Mytilus edulis: one gene and its partner. The protein of the gene in region 2 interacts with the protein of the main gene of each other region in a biochemical or structural test. Links are inferred from orthologs where the notes say so. Each region holds a gene or a part of one and is shown on either strand. Other genes may lie near its edges.

Region 1 (7,779 bases), on a different chromosome or scaffold from region 2:
TGCCTTGTAACACAGACAAACAGACCTGGAGACAGATCTGATATTAAACAGTGTTATATTTTTTGCAATGGGTCCCACATGCAATGGTTATTATGGTGTCACTTCCTATATATCAAATGACATCATTGTTGGGCAAGTGACGTCACAGACATCAAGCTGTCAGATTTCCTGACACAGGAAATGCAACCTTAAAAAACTACCAACAGCAAGAGGGTAAAATACACCTTATCGCTATTTGTCCGCCATTACTGGCCATCATACAGGTTTTCCAGTAAATGTTGACGTCATAATACAAAATAACTGACACCACACTAGAAAAGTGATTGTTGTGTGAAGTCAATAGTTCAAGTGGTTTTGTTTTGATTGTTTTGATTTTTCCAAGGCATTCGATAAAGTCAGACACAAGAGACTTCTGTACAAAGAAGAGTACTATGTTAAAAACAGGCCAACACTCCAATGGATCAGGGACTTCCTCAGCTCCTGAAATCAGAGAGTCGTTGTGGATAGTAAAACATCTGACACTGCACCAGTCCAATCAGGAGTACCAAACATCTGACACTGCACCAGTCCAATCAGGAGTACCAAACATCTGACACTGCACCAGTCCAATCAGGAGTACCAAACATCTGACACTGCACCAGTCTAATCAGGAGTACCAAACATCTGACACTGCACCAGTCCAATCAGGAGTACCAAACATCTGACACTGCACCAGTCCAATCAGGAGTACCAAACATCTGACACTGCACCAGTCTAATCAGGAGTACCACAGGAGACCACTCATGTTCCTTCATCAACAACCTACCAGACTACATGTATGTTTAGTCATCAACGACCTACCAGACTACATGTATGTTTAGTCATCAACGACCTACCAGACTACATGTAATTTCTCGCTACATTGAAGACCTGTTGGTGACCTTCGGCTGTTGTTTTTTTCTATGGTCTGGTTGTTGTCTCTTTGGCACATTCCCCGTTTCCATTCTCAATTTTATTATTATTATTAGTCATCAACGACCTACCAGACTACATGTATGTTTAGTCATCAACGACCTACCAGACTACATGTATGTTTAGTCATCAACGACCTACCAGACTACATGTATGTTTAGTCATCAACATTTGTCTATTTGCTGATGACTGCGTACTGTACAGCAGGATCCAAAATGATGCCAGTTACTATATACTAGTATACAAGACATGAACAACTTGCTTAGATGGGAATCTGATTAGCAAATGAAATTCCATCCCAGCAAATGCCAACTGCTACGCCTTACCAACAAGTGCAAACCACATCTAACAAGCTACAACATTCATGGGCACAATTTAGAACTGGTTGACTCAGGAAAATATCTAGACGGCACAATCCACAAAACTATTAATTGGAACACCCACATAGAGAGTATATAGCTAAAAAGGCTTATTCAACCAGGTCCTTCATCCAAAGAAATCCTCAGCACTGTCCCCAACAAACAAAAGCTGTATGCTACACAACGCTAGTAAGACCATTGCTTGAGTATGCATGCTCATATAAAAAGAAGATGTGGCATGTTTGGCAATGAGACATGTACAACTATCCACAAGAGACCAAAATGACACAGACATTATCAACTATATGTCACCATACAGCCTTCAACAATGAGCAAACCCCATACTGCATAGTCAGCTATAAAAGGCCCTGATATGACAATGTAAAACAATTAAGACGAGAAAACTAATGGCCTAATTTGTATACAAAAAAGAACGAAAAACAAATATGTAACACATAAACAAACGACAACCATTGAATTACAGGCTCCTGACTTGGGCCAGGCACATGCATAAATAATGTGACGCCGACGGATTAAACATGTTAGCGGGATCCCAACTTTCCCCCATAGTCTGGGACCCGTTCTCCAACCTGAACATACAGAAATTAGAAAGTGTGCATAGAAGATCAGCCCGGTTTGTATTGAGCAACTACCATTATAAACCAGCAATGTAACATCAATGCTAAAAACACTACAGTGGCAACCACTAGCTGAGAGGAGGCCAACTGCAAAGCCATAATGATGTACAGGATAGTAAATGGCCTCGTAGCAATACCAACGCTAGACCTACACACAACATCATCCGTAGCAAGAGGACACACAACATGATGTCTTGTACCGTATGCCAGAACTTCAACATACAGGCATTCCTTCATTCCAGACAGCATATGGATATGGAACAGCCTCCCACAACCTTTGGTGGACAGTACCTCACTAGATTCTTTCAAGCAGGGGGTACTGAGCTGCAGTATCCCTTAATCACACCATCACGGCTTCAGACTGTTTTTAACTTGCACCGGTAAATACTTTCTTGCACCTTTGTTGTCACTCCCAGCATGTGCAAATGTGCTATAATACTCAATTAGAGGACTGCACTGTTTTGGAAGAACAAGAAGAAGCTACAGTTTCTCAGGTCAGCCGGGAATAGCTGATTAGCTGTGAGGTGTATTGGCAGATCTTAATTTCCTAATTTTAAATTTTAAGGAAAAAAAATCTGTAACACTCATACATTAAAGATTATGGATGGATAGGTTAATTGTTATCATTTACATGGTTCTTCATTTCTGTCTCCCAAGCCTATTTCTAGGGTTAAGTTGGAGCTCCTATTGTCAAAGACATCTGAATCATCTGCTAACAGCTCGTCCTGTATTTCTTCTGAATGACAATCATTGCAGTCTAATCTCTTTAAAGGCATTTTTTAAATATTTGAATGACAGCTGCAGCTGCATTATACATGTACTAGTCCATAGTCATATTTTTTTCCTTCTTTGTTTACATTTTTCACAGTTACTTCCGGTTGCAGGAGCGGTCACTTTGAACAAATATCTATTTTTACAGAAGGGAGAAAAATCAAGACTTTTGAAATCAGATAAAAATACAAATAGGTCTTATTTACTTTTTGAATATAATTTAACATATTTTTATACGACAAAATCCGTTATAACCAATCAAATTCGAAAAAGTATCCTTGCAAGATGGCGTCGACTGTTGCCAAAGCTCAAACATTCTTTTGTGAAAACCAATATAAGTCTGTCATACAACTATTAAATGATCAGAGAAAGGCACGACGGTTCTGTGATGTGATTTTGCGAGTTGGAAAAGAACAATTCTATGCACATTCAAATGTACTAGCAGCAACCAGCCCTTATTTCGGTGCGTTCTTAGGACAGGGTCAGGATCACCCGAGGGCATTTTCACAGAAAATCCCACAAGTTATCGAAATACACATTGACGGTGATTGTGATAACCAAGGATTTACAACGGCCGTGTCGTTAGTACTTGATTATATGTACACCAGCAACATCACATTAGACTCTGATTGCCTCGTTCAGGTTGTAGAAATTGCAAAAATTATGCAAATAGAAAAAGTTTTGGAATTTTGCAATACATTTGAATCTGGCAATCAATTAGATGCCGACATATCAATAGCTAAAACTACACCTGTTCAAACTCAGACAGAACCGCAATTTACATTTTTAGACAATAAATCTGTTCAGACATGTGATATTGACTTAGTTTTTGACATGTGGTGCAAAAAAAAGCAAGTTCGAAATCTTGAACATTTTAATGTAGACTATGTAGAGAAAATCGAGGGTCCAAAAGTGAAAGATTGTAAAATACAAGCAGCAGAAAAATACAAGAAACTTATTAAAAAATCAGGCGCATTTCTTATGGACAGGAAAAAGGATGGCAAGAAAAATATTTCATTACTTGGAGTAACACACAGAAAAAGAGGCCGCCCACCACTACCAGAAAATGCTAAACTTAATGCCCTTATTGAACAAAAGCAAATGAAAAGAAAAGGTGAAACTGATAAGGTAGAAGAAAATCCAACAGCAAAAGCACCTGAATCAAATCACAAGCACATCCATGAAGAAAGTCATGAAGATACAAATTGTAAACGCATAAAATTAGAAAATACTGAAACATTGAAAAACAGAAAAGGAACTTACATTGAACAGACAGAGGGCAGATTTCCTTCACGAAAAAATAGAGGAAAGAAACCATCAAAATTTTTAGATGATGCTGAATCAGATTCTGATGCTCTTGTGGTTGATGAAACAGGGGATGAATCTTCCCAAAATCAGCCAAAGCTTGAAAATATATGGCACAACTGCGATGAATGTCCATATTCTACAAACTCGTCATATCAATATAATAGACATACTAAAGCTCATCAGAATGATAGAGACCGTCTTGAAGGAAGTGATATTAAAGAATATAAATGTGATCGCTGTGATTTTTCATCTTACAAATACAAAGTTTTACAAACACACATTCAAGAACATCTACATGCTGAAAATATTTGCAGTTTTTGTGATTTTGAAGCAGAAAATTCAGACTCACTGCTTGAACACATCCTAATTCATAAACCACCCAATCCGTTTCATTGTATTTATTGTGACAGCAAATATAAAACTCGAGCTCAGTTAAATGTCCATCTTCCAAAACATTTAACTGTTAAACCTTTTATCTGTGAAATTTGTCAAACTGGATTCAAGTGGAAACATGCACTTAAATGCCACATGGCCACTCATAGTGAAACAAAAGATCATCTGTGTGATGTTTGTGGATTTGCAACTGCTCACAAAAGTCAATTAAAAGCACATAAACTCATTCATACAGGAGACACATATAAATGTGAATATCCAAATTGTAAATTCCAGTCAATAAAAAAGCAGAGTTTGAAATATCATTTACTAACACATACTCAGGAAAAACCTCATCAATGTGAAATATGTGGGCAAAGTTTTTCATTGAAAAAAAATTTAAACAGACATGCATTACTTCACACTGATGTGCGACCACATAAATGTAAATTTCATGAAGTTTGTAACTTTGCAACAACAAGGTATGATAAGTTAAAAGAACATTTGCTCAAAATTCACAGTCATGGAGTGGCACCAAGCAAAAAGTTTAGACTTTCTGATTATCCAAAAAGTTTAGTTCCTCCTGATGAAGAAGAGCCTCCAATGCCTAGCATGCCTAGTGTTATTCATATTGAGAATTCTGATATAAGTTTAGGCCAGATATCATTGAATGATTTAGAGACAAAAGTATACATACAGCAACCTGGAGGAGAATCTGTACCTATCACTCTTGTGGCATCTAAATTTGAAATACCATATCAATTGATAACTAAGCTTGAAAACTAATTGTTACTTGTTACTTGAAGACTTGTATATATATATTAAAATAACATTATTTATGACAAATAATTTTTATATTTCATAAAGTTCTATTTAACATGTTTAATGTAGAATTGAGAGTGGGAATACGGAATGTGTTATAGAGACAACAACTTGACCAATGAGCAATGATGAGCAGAACACAGCCAATGCCACTAATTGGTCTTTGACACATGAAAATTATACCACTCAGAGACGGCTTCAACTGACCTGGTCCATAAACAATAATATTTTAAACTTGTTCAGCAAAAAGGATGCAACACTTATTTCCAAAAAAACATTTAATGAAAAAAAATCCATAAAAAACAAGGTTCCTGACTGTGTACAGGCACTTTGTACATTATATGTTTAATAGATATTCCATACACCTGTGTATGTACAAAATGAAGAGGGTTATTAGGTAAAAGTCAACGAGGTCATGGAGGTGGCAAACTGCTTTGTTACTAAGGTAAACCCATGTTAACTTGTTAATCTTGAATCTCTATGATATCTGTATTGATTGCATAGGTTAAATATCCTGGAGAAAAATCAATCATTAGTCAATTTAGCACATCTCTCAATGACTATTTGAAGATGAAATACTATTTGCCTTAATTTCATGGTTTTATATAGTGTTTTTTTAAACTCTTTTAAAATAGTATGACTTGTCTCCCTTTACTGTACAGATGTAGAAAACAATATAAACAAAAATCAGCTTATCATGGTGGAAACTGAAATTAATCCTTTTATTTGACCTTTTGTATTACATGTACTTATCAAACATGTACAGCAGCTGCATATATGTGTCTGTGTATACTTCTCTTGAATTGGATGAACTATGTTCTTTGTCGGCATGATCAGAGTTTCAATATTAATTTTACTTATACAATAAAGGAATTGTATACCTTTTAATACACACACTGTCACTGTATAAAGATAAGAATTTGTGAAATGATTGCTAGTGAGAAAACTTATTGATTACATACACAGGCCACCTTCAACAATAAGCAAATATCACACAAGCATACCACATGTATGTTTTCTTTAAGCAAATCAACTGATATACTTATTTTCAGAAGTTCATATGCAGAGATCTAGTCATTCTAAAAAGACCCTTTTGGGATGAATCTCAAAACTTATTAACATATTCAGTCAATACCTGTCTGTGAGACTTTTAACTGCACCTTCCAAAGTGGAACAAATGGATGAGTGATCAAGGTAAAAGTTGTGTTATCAAATTGGTCTCTCAGATACAATAAGCAGTAGGCCAACTTCATGTAGTGTATGGAATGATTGTAAGGGGTGCATGTCAGTCTGGCAGGTTAACTCTGACCTTGACCTCATTTTCATTAGTAACAACTAGTCAATATTCGGTTTGTGCTATGCAGGTCTGTCCAACTCACTTCTGGTTCAAATTTTCATGCATTTTTTCCACTGAGCTTAAGTACTTTAAGCAGTAGGTCAGCTATATGTGTTGTAGGAATGATTGTTAGACGAAAATGTCTGTCAGGCTGGCATCATCTGACCCTGACCTTATCTTTAGTGTTCATTGGTCAATGTTATTTTTTTGTGCTTTGGTCTGTTTTTTAATTACCATAAGCAGTAGATCAAACTTTATTTGGTGTATATAATAATTGTAAGGTGTACATGTCTACCAGACAGAATTTATCTGACCTTGATGTCATTGTTATGGATCATTAAAAATGTGAAGTTTATGTGATACTTTAGATCTTTAAGACTTTCAACATAAAACTAATGGTCAATAAAGCAGCCAAGACATTTCGGAGAATGCACCTATTTTTGTCAAGCCTGTGACTTTTGTGGCAGAAAACTCAACATGGTGGCTATGGCTTTAGCTTACATCGTAAAAGCTTTATATTTTAGAGGGTGGAACACCTGGTTGCTTCATACTTTATATATAGATGCCTTATGTAATGAAGTTTCCATCTGTCATATGTCCATTGTCCTTGACCTCATTTTCATGGTTCAGTGACTACTTGAAAAAAAGTTAATTTTTTTTGTAAAGATAATTTCTCTTGAATTACGAGTAATAGGATAATATAAAAAGAAGATGTGATATGATTGCTAATGAGACAACTATCCACACAAGACCAAGATGACACAGACATTAACAACTGTAGGTCACCATATGGCCTTCAACAATGAGCAAAGCCCATACCGCATAGTCTCATTTCAACCAACAGTGAACAAGTTTTGGTGGTTTAGTCCATATCTCAGATATTATAAGCAATAGGTCTAGTATATTTAGTGTTTGGAAGGATTGTAAGTTGCACATGTCCAACGTGCATGTGTCATCTGACCTTAACCTCCTTTCATGGGTCAGTGGTCAAATTTAAGTTTTTGAGTTGAGTACTGTATTAGGAATATACATTCTAAATTTGCTTAAGGCACTTATTTATGGAATTGTAATTTTCCTGAAAATAAAACAAGATCACTAATCAAGTTATGTGTGTGAAAGAGAAAGTTTGCAAATCCTATAGAGATGAACAGATGAAAGTCCTTAATAATAAGATATGGTATGACTGTTACTGATATATCGATCTTTCAGCACTGACTGATAG
Region 2 (7,318 bases):
CAATATCAACACAAATATCTTCCACTGTACAAGCATAATTCAGTAATGGTAAATCCTCAAATAACGGTACTGTTAGGATATCACGGTCATCTCCACTATCCTCCCATTCGTCCAGTACACTGACCAGTCCATTTTCCAAGGTTTCAGCATTGCCAGAGTTGATCAACCTTATAATATTTGTTACATTCACCATATCTATAAATGAAATGTTTGGTCTATTAGTTTTGATAATTGATGATATATTATTGATTAAAATTAACAAACTTATAAATACTGTGGCTTTATTATACTCCGTTTAATACAAATCTTTTGAGTTTTGGGGTATACAGGTGAAAATTTAAATGTTCAATGAATTATAATTGTTCAAAGACTTTGGAAAAACGAAAGTAAATATCCATGAAAACGCAAGTTTTCGTCGAAAATAGATACTCATGAAAACAAACGAAAACTACAGTAGATCTATGCATTAATACATACACTAACAGTGTTTCAGCACAGAACCATAGAGATTAATATCAAGTATGTTACTGAATTTGAAATGTATCCCATCTAATTTTATGGTATATATCTTGTCTTTAAAAACTTTCTATCTAAACTAGCTATTTCTGTTTTCATTAGGAAATTTCATCATTTCAGAATCAATTTCAGAATCTAATGTGTTCTGTAAAATATTCTAACCTCTTTTGATTCCATAACCTCATACTAAACATGCTAAAAGATTTGACTTTCAGGAAATGCATTCTGACCTTGACACAATCTAATCATGCTAATGTTTGGTGTGTTTATTTTAAATATGATTATTTGAAGTGGCCAGCGTACTAAAAGATTTGACTTTCAGGAAATGTATTCTGACCTTGACTAATATCTAATGTGTGGTGTGGTTATTTTACAAATGATTATTTGAAGTGACCAGTGTCCAATGTAACTGATTACAAATGAAAGCCAAGAACAAGTTTCTTTGATAATATGCCAGGCTCTTTGAATCATATGTATGACCGTTCCTCAAAATTTTCAACTGGATTTACATAAATGTTATGTTGTAAAAACATTGAAACAGATTCAAACAGAGAATTATGCTAAAGTTTGATTCTTTAAATGTCCATTGAGGCTTAATTTGTATAGTTGTTTAAAAGTTGATTATATCATGGATGAAAAATCTTTCTTTCTTTATTTCCATATGATTTTAAAGGAGTAGTAAACTATGATGTACTTTACCAAAAATATAAATGTATTACTTAATCATGTTAATTATACATTGTTATAGGGAAAATAATTCTCATATTTCGAAAACACTTTAAAAAATGCATCTAGTGTCATTCAGGTTATAAGTAGGACAGGTGCAATTTACTCATATTTCAAGTTTTCTCAGGATAAAAAAACATAAATATGTAAAAATGAAAATAAGAAAATAAGAAAAGAGGATGAAAGAATTTAAAAATTTAATAATATATATATGAAGTATCTTTAACACTACATTATAACTTTCAGGAAATGAAAATGTCAATTCAAATGAGGTCATTATTGTGGTTTTCTAAGATTCATAACAAATCGAATCAATTTTACATTTAGTTATAAAATGAATCAAACTTACTAACACACCTGCCATAGTTTAAACATGTTAAATTTACAGAAAATCAAGAAAAAACAACAAAACACTAGATAGAAAACTGCAGACTGCAAGCAACATGAACCCTATCCAAAACTGTGGTAACATACCATGTAAACTTATTTGCTCAATGCCTACTTCAAATATTAAGTATAGTTTGTGTTGCATTATAAATCTGGTAAAAATCTACATAGATCAATACAGAAGTCATTGTATATATTTACTTTCATACTCCTTAATTTTTTTTTAGAGTACATCAAAGGTTTACAAAACAGTTTGATGTCTTCAAAAGAAAGTCAAATTGTTTTATAGTATATTATATATATATAGACATCATAGTAGTAACGACAATGTTTTTTTGTTATCTATTTTAAAAACAAACAAAGTATATACCACTCTCAGATAACAACTGAACATACCATAGATCCACTGACTTGCTCTTTTAGTAAATTCTGAATATCTGGCCATTTTCCTTTGGGTAATTCAGTTAGAATATTCATAAAAATTTACAACTTTAGAGAATTTTCTGACTTCAACTTAAGTTTTGATAATGGTACATCTGAGAAAGTTTATAATTGACTTCATGCAATTAATAATCTATATTAATGAGTATATTCCTGCATGCCAATGTTATTCAAACCTGTAAAATAGCTAATAAAGATGAATCTACTTTATCCCTTCAACACACCACCGACGGTTGGTCACATTTTATGTCTTGTTAACATTTTATCAAATATCAATTATCATAAATATTATCGTTGATGTTTATCTGATTATACACATATATATCCCAGTCATATCTTAAGACAAATTAAAAGTTCACATTGTCAGGTTGTCTTAGTAGATTAGGTCAAACTTTGACACTTCATTAGTAATTGTGGTACTATGTATAAAACGGAGAAGAAGTCTTTCAATACAACATCTTTCTGCTTTAATACACATGTATCTATCACATTTCATTATAATCTTTATAACTATAATTTCAATGTCTGTACCAGTATATATAACTCAATCAATAAAAAACTTCTTCTCAAACAATATAAAACTACTTATATAATTCCTTGATTGCTTTTAAATTCCAAAGTCTGAACAGAGCTGCTAATTTTAGATACTATCCTAAAGAAACTAAATCCATGCATCTGCATCAAAACTTGAAAACTGAGTCTATATAAATAAGCACATGTTCCTACTTCCTAGATGTTAATATGATGTTGATTCACATGTATAAAAATATGTATTCCTCTGCAATTAAGTGTAAAAAGTTTACAGCAATACGTACGGCTGTCATTTATATTCTTTATATGTAATATTGTAACAACGAACCACATCGCATGCACAGGTTTCCAAGTTTAAAATAACCTAAGTATTAACACAAATATCTGTCATTTGTGTGTACACATTATAGGAAGACAGATATACTTCCTGAATGAGTTAAATACACATATTTCTAACAGTTGAAGTACTTTATTCAAAGATTGAGATTTAAATCCATTCACCCACATTAAACGGGGGTTTTAGTTTGTAAAGACTCACAGGAAAAAAATGCATTGTGCATGTCCTAATTATTTAACCCATAATGAGTTTACTAATTATTTTATGTGACAGATATTTAGGCATCAGTAATCAAGCTAAAAGTGTACTATTTTTTTCCTTCAATTCAGTAAATTTAGTTTTAATGGGGTTTTTTTATCATTAAACTAGTATACTCTCCTGTATAATTATAGTGTGGTCCTAACATTTTCCACAAACATGTGGAGAACCAAGATATATCGATAAATAGATATCAAATGTCTACAAATTATATAAAAATTATTCTAATGTAAGAAAATATTAATCCTTTATTAATTATTATGAGCTAGAATAATATATAACAGCTCTATATAATATAATATTGTGAAGCACTCTGAAATATTTTGAACCTATTTGCCACAACTACATGCAATAAAATAATATATATAAATCAAAGAGCTGATAGCTCTGAGGTGGAAAAAGGTGAATAAAAGTTTACTTGAATTACCATAAAAGCAGCCCCACTAACCCAGCCTGCTTTGGATTTTTTTCTTCAAACAAGAATGTGTCATAAGTACATGGATTTCCCATCTGTACAATCATTTTCTATGTTCAGTGGACTGTGAAAATTTGGTAAAATCTTTAAAAAACTTCATCAAAAACTACCTCGGCAATAAACCTTAACCTGAAGCAGGACAGACGGACAGACTAAAACATAATGCCCATAATGGGGCATAAAAATAGTAAGACTTGTTACATACCTGCCAACTTTTGAAAGTTCCCATCAGGGTTTTTAGTGCGGGACAACAATTTTAAAGGTTACAATTTTTAGCTAAGTGCACGATCTGGATTGTCTAGAAAAAGTGTCATATTTGTATGATGAACTTACATGCCTTTTTCTTAAGTCTGTTTGCATGATTCTAGTTATTAAATCGTTAGAAAAGATGAACATGTAGCCAGCAGACCAGGGTTTATTTTCTTGTGTAAGAATATTAGATGCTTGTTGAAATTTCCAATTTTGAATTATGCACAAAGATGGACCTTTAACAGGTTGGGAACAACACTCCAAATGAGGGGTAACCCTCATTGGAAGTACATTACAACCCACTGTAAAAAATGAGCACCTTTATATTCATATTATTTGATGAAACTTTTCGCTAAGAACTATGCATCTATCAAGTCTTAATTGGTCAAAACATGTTAAAAAAATTTTGTGATGTTTCTATAAACTTACATCTTTTTTTATTAATTTGAACCCTCATTTCGAAAAGTTGTTCCAAATACAATGAATTTTCCCACTATCTTAAAAATGTTCTTTCTTATTTTTTTCAACAGTAAAATTACACCTTGATTTAGGGACAGTCCCTCATTTGAAGGACACCACTCATAATGGGTGGGGGGGGGGGGTCTTCGTGAAAGAAAAAATAGTATATTGTCCTTTAAATGATTTAATTGAATACAAAAATAAAATATGTTACAACATGTATTATGTCAAAAAATTAGTGTAAAAAATACTATTAATCATCTTTATGGTAGTAATGCATCATTGAATTTTGTCAATCAGCCATGCTTTTATCCTTCAGCTGTGTAAGAACCTGCTTGCAGATGAAAATTCACATGCCATTTTCACGATTTTACAACTAGATGAAAACTACACTCCATACAGCGTTATCGTTCGGGTCATACTTCCCTTTCTCTACAAACAATGTAAAGAAGCGTAGTTAGATGTCACCACTTTTTCAGAGTTTGGATAAAATCAAAACAACACAAGTTCATCGTGAGTAACACAGAATTTGATTGGCTGAACACGTTTGTTTTACAAGGAACACGTTTTTTAGAGGGTTTTTTAACGATACCCTTAATATTAAATTTTTTTAATAAATGCAATGAATTATTATAAACGTCCTTGATAAGAGTAAAAAGAATGAACACAGGGCTGTACGGGCGAAAGAACTCAGGACGAACAGACCAAGGGCAAACATGTAAACAGGGCAAGTTGTCCCGATACCCAATTCAGGCATGTGTACTACAAATATCGACAGTAAAAACATCCGGTTACAAGGAAACAAATGTAGATGGGATGAAATCTAATAATTTACATAAATAAAAGGGTACATATTTACGATTGTGATTGTCTTTCAATCCTAATTTACAAATTAAATGATTCAGATGCTTACTTTATATGTTAAATCGGTGTCAGGAACCGAAATATTTAACGGAATAAATTGTAATATACAGAAACGAATGCAGCATACGGAGAATCAATGATTTTAAGTCAGCACCATTGGCCTTCAGAAGACTTGAAGTCTTCTTCCACCAAAAATTTTCTGGTAAAGCATGTTTGTTGAATTGAAAAAATTTTAACTTATATATGTGTAAAAAATATTTTCCTGCATCAGTTTTTTGTAGCGTCATATTTTGAAATACAACTAAGTATACATTTTTTGTTCTTTAGGGGGCACTAGCTGTCAAATTTGTGTTTACTGATTTGACTCAAATTCTCATATTTGATTTAAAATCATGTGAAAAGGCTAAAATAAACAACTTACAGGGCATGGACTCAATTATATGTAGCTTTGTTTATGTCTATTTTAGTCTATAAGCCATCTAATTAACTATCTAGTTGACCTCCGATAAGCGATATACACATGAATATAGTTATAAATAGATATCAAAATGATGCAATTGGATTTTTCTAAGTCTGTTTAATTTAATTTTATAGATTAAAAATAAATGTTAATCATTGTCTTTACCTGTATGAATGATTTTTTTAATGGATCGAAGCAGTCAATCAAATAATTTACCTTCGTTTTACTTTCAATGTTGACATTCTTTTCCTTTAACTTACTTTACACGCACAGTTCATTTTTATTCATTTCTATCTAAAGGGGTTAAATTGAAGTGATATGAATACAGATTCAATGAAATTGAATTGTTTACTTGCAAGTGAATAATTCATCGTCAATATTTCTTAGCTTATTTCGACAAAATTAAACCAGACTTGCTGCTTAAAGCGAATTATAATTTCATTTTTTCACTTTCCTTAATGATTGAACAAAAAAAATCATATTTTAAGGAGGTAGACCTAGGTGAAGGGAAATAACTCTTAAAATCATCAGTACGTTTGTGTCAACCATTTTCAAAAAACATATTCTAAGCTTCTAGGTTACATAGATTATTTTCAATCTGTTTCAGGTAAATGCTTAAAATACATTGATGAACTTGACTTTTACAAACGCTTAACTGATTTAAAGAGTTATCTCCCTGAACCAAGGTCTACCCCCTTAAATTTTATCTGGTAGCTTGTACCGTTTTAATCATAATTTCTATACATGCATAAATGATTAATTCCACGAGAGTTAATTTTTTGTGGGAAATTATTTTTTTGTAAGAAAGTAATCGATGTTCTTAATAAATTATTTTTCATTGAGATTTTAGTTTGCTTTTACAACATTTATTTTAAGAGGTCAGAATATACAGAGCAGTTGAAAAGCTATGAATCTGAAGAAGCACCAAACAATAGATTGAAGTCCCTACTGAAAGCCTGATACCAAGTTTCAGGAATCTTTGTTTTCAAGTTCCTGAGATAAAAGTGACAAAATTGAACTGGACCTTTATGTTTAGTAAACCCATAAAACATTCCATAGATGATTTGGTGAGAATTAGATTCTAAAATACAATTTCAAGCAATTTTCTGTTTTATCAAGGGGCATAATTCTCAAAAGAAAAAAGTAAAATCAGTCAAATTCAAAAAGATTCTGTGGTTGACAAATTTCAATAGATTTGGTAAATTAAAGCTTACTTTAAGTTTAATACTTAAATAAATCCTTCATAAACAAAAAAAAGGTTATTTCCCATTTTATCAACTATATGATTTCTCTGAAATTCTCTGAAATCATAAAAAGTGAATGAATATAAACTGAATCTACATTATGAACAAAAAATAATCTTTGTCCTGCTAGTTTAATTAAGGGGAATACCTAATGAAAATCAAATGTGAAATTGGTCAAATTCAAAAACAAAATTTCAAATATGAAATGTGAAATGATATAGTAGATGCCTTCTTAAGTTTATGTCTGGAAACCAATAAAATACGGTAAGCTATTTTCTGTTTTATAAAGGGACATAATTCTGAAACTAGAGGCTCTCAAGAGCCTGTGTTGCTCACCTGTTACTGTATTTACTGATGTCGGCCATGTTGGT

Evidence for each region.
Region 1: the proteins of leucine-rich repeat serine/threonine-protein kinase 1-like (region 2) and sorting nexin-21-like form a complex in vitro, tested with the Homo sapiens proteins (2 studies listed by BioGRID and IntAct, with this or other methods). The link is inferred for Mytilus edulis from reciprocal best matches to the Homo sapiens genes LRRK1 and SNX21.

Annotation. Positions count from the first base shown.
Region 1 is NC_092348.1:5,570,088-5,577,866, forward strand, and holds the start of sorting nexin-21-like, read right to left. Parts: upstream 3,005-7,779; 5' UTR 2,725-3,004; coding exon 2,580-2,724; intron 1-2,579. Other genes in the region: myoneurin-like, read left to right, coding at 3,005-5,185. UniProt on the Homo sapiens protein: Binds to membranes enriched in phosphatidylinositol 3-phosphate (PtdIns(P3)) and phosphatidylinositol 4,5-bisphosphate. May be involved in several stages of intracellular trafficking.
Region 2 is NC_092347.1:2,554,937-2,562,254, reverse strand, and holds the start of leucine-rich repeat serine/threonine-protein kinase 1-like, read right to left. Parts: upstream 3,016-7,318; 5' UTR 2,935-3,015; coding exon of another isoform or gene 2,886-2,934; 5' UTR 2,075-2,885; coding exon 2,026-2,074; intron 196-2,025; coding exon 1-195.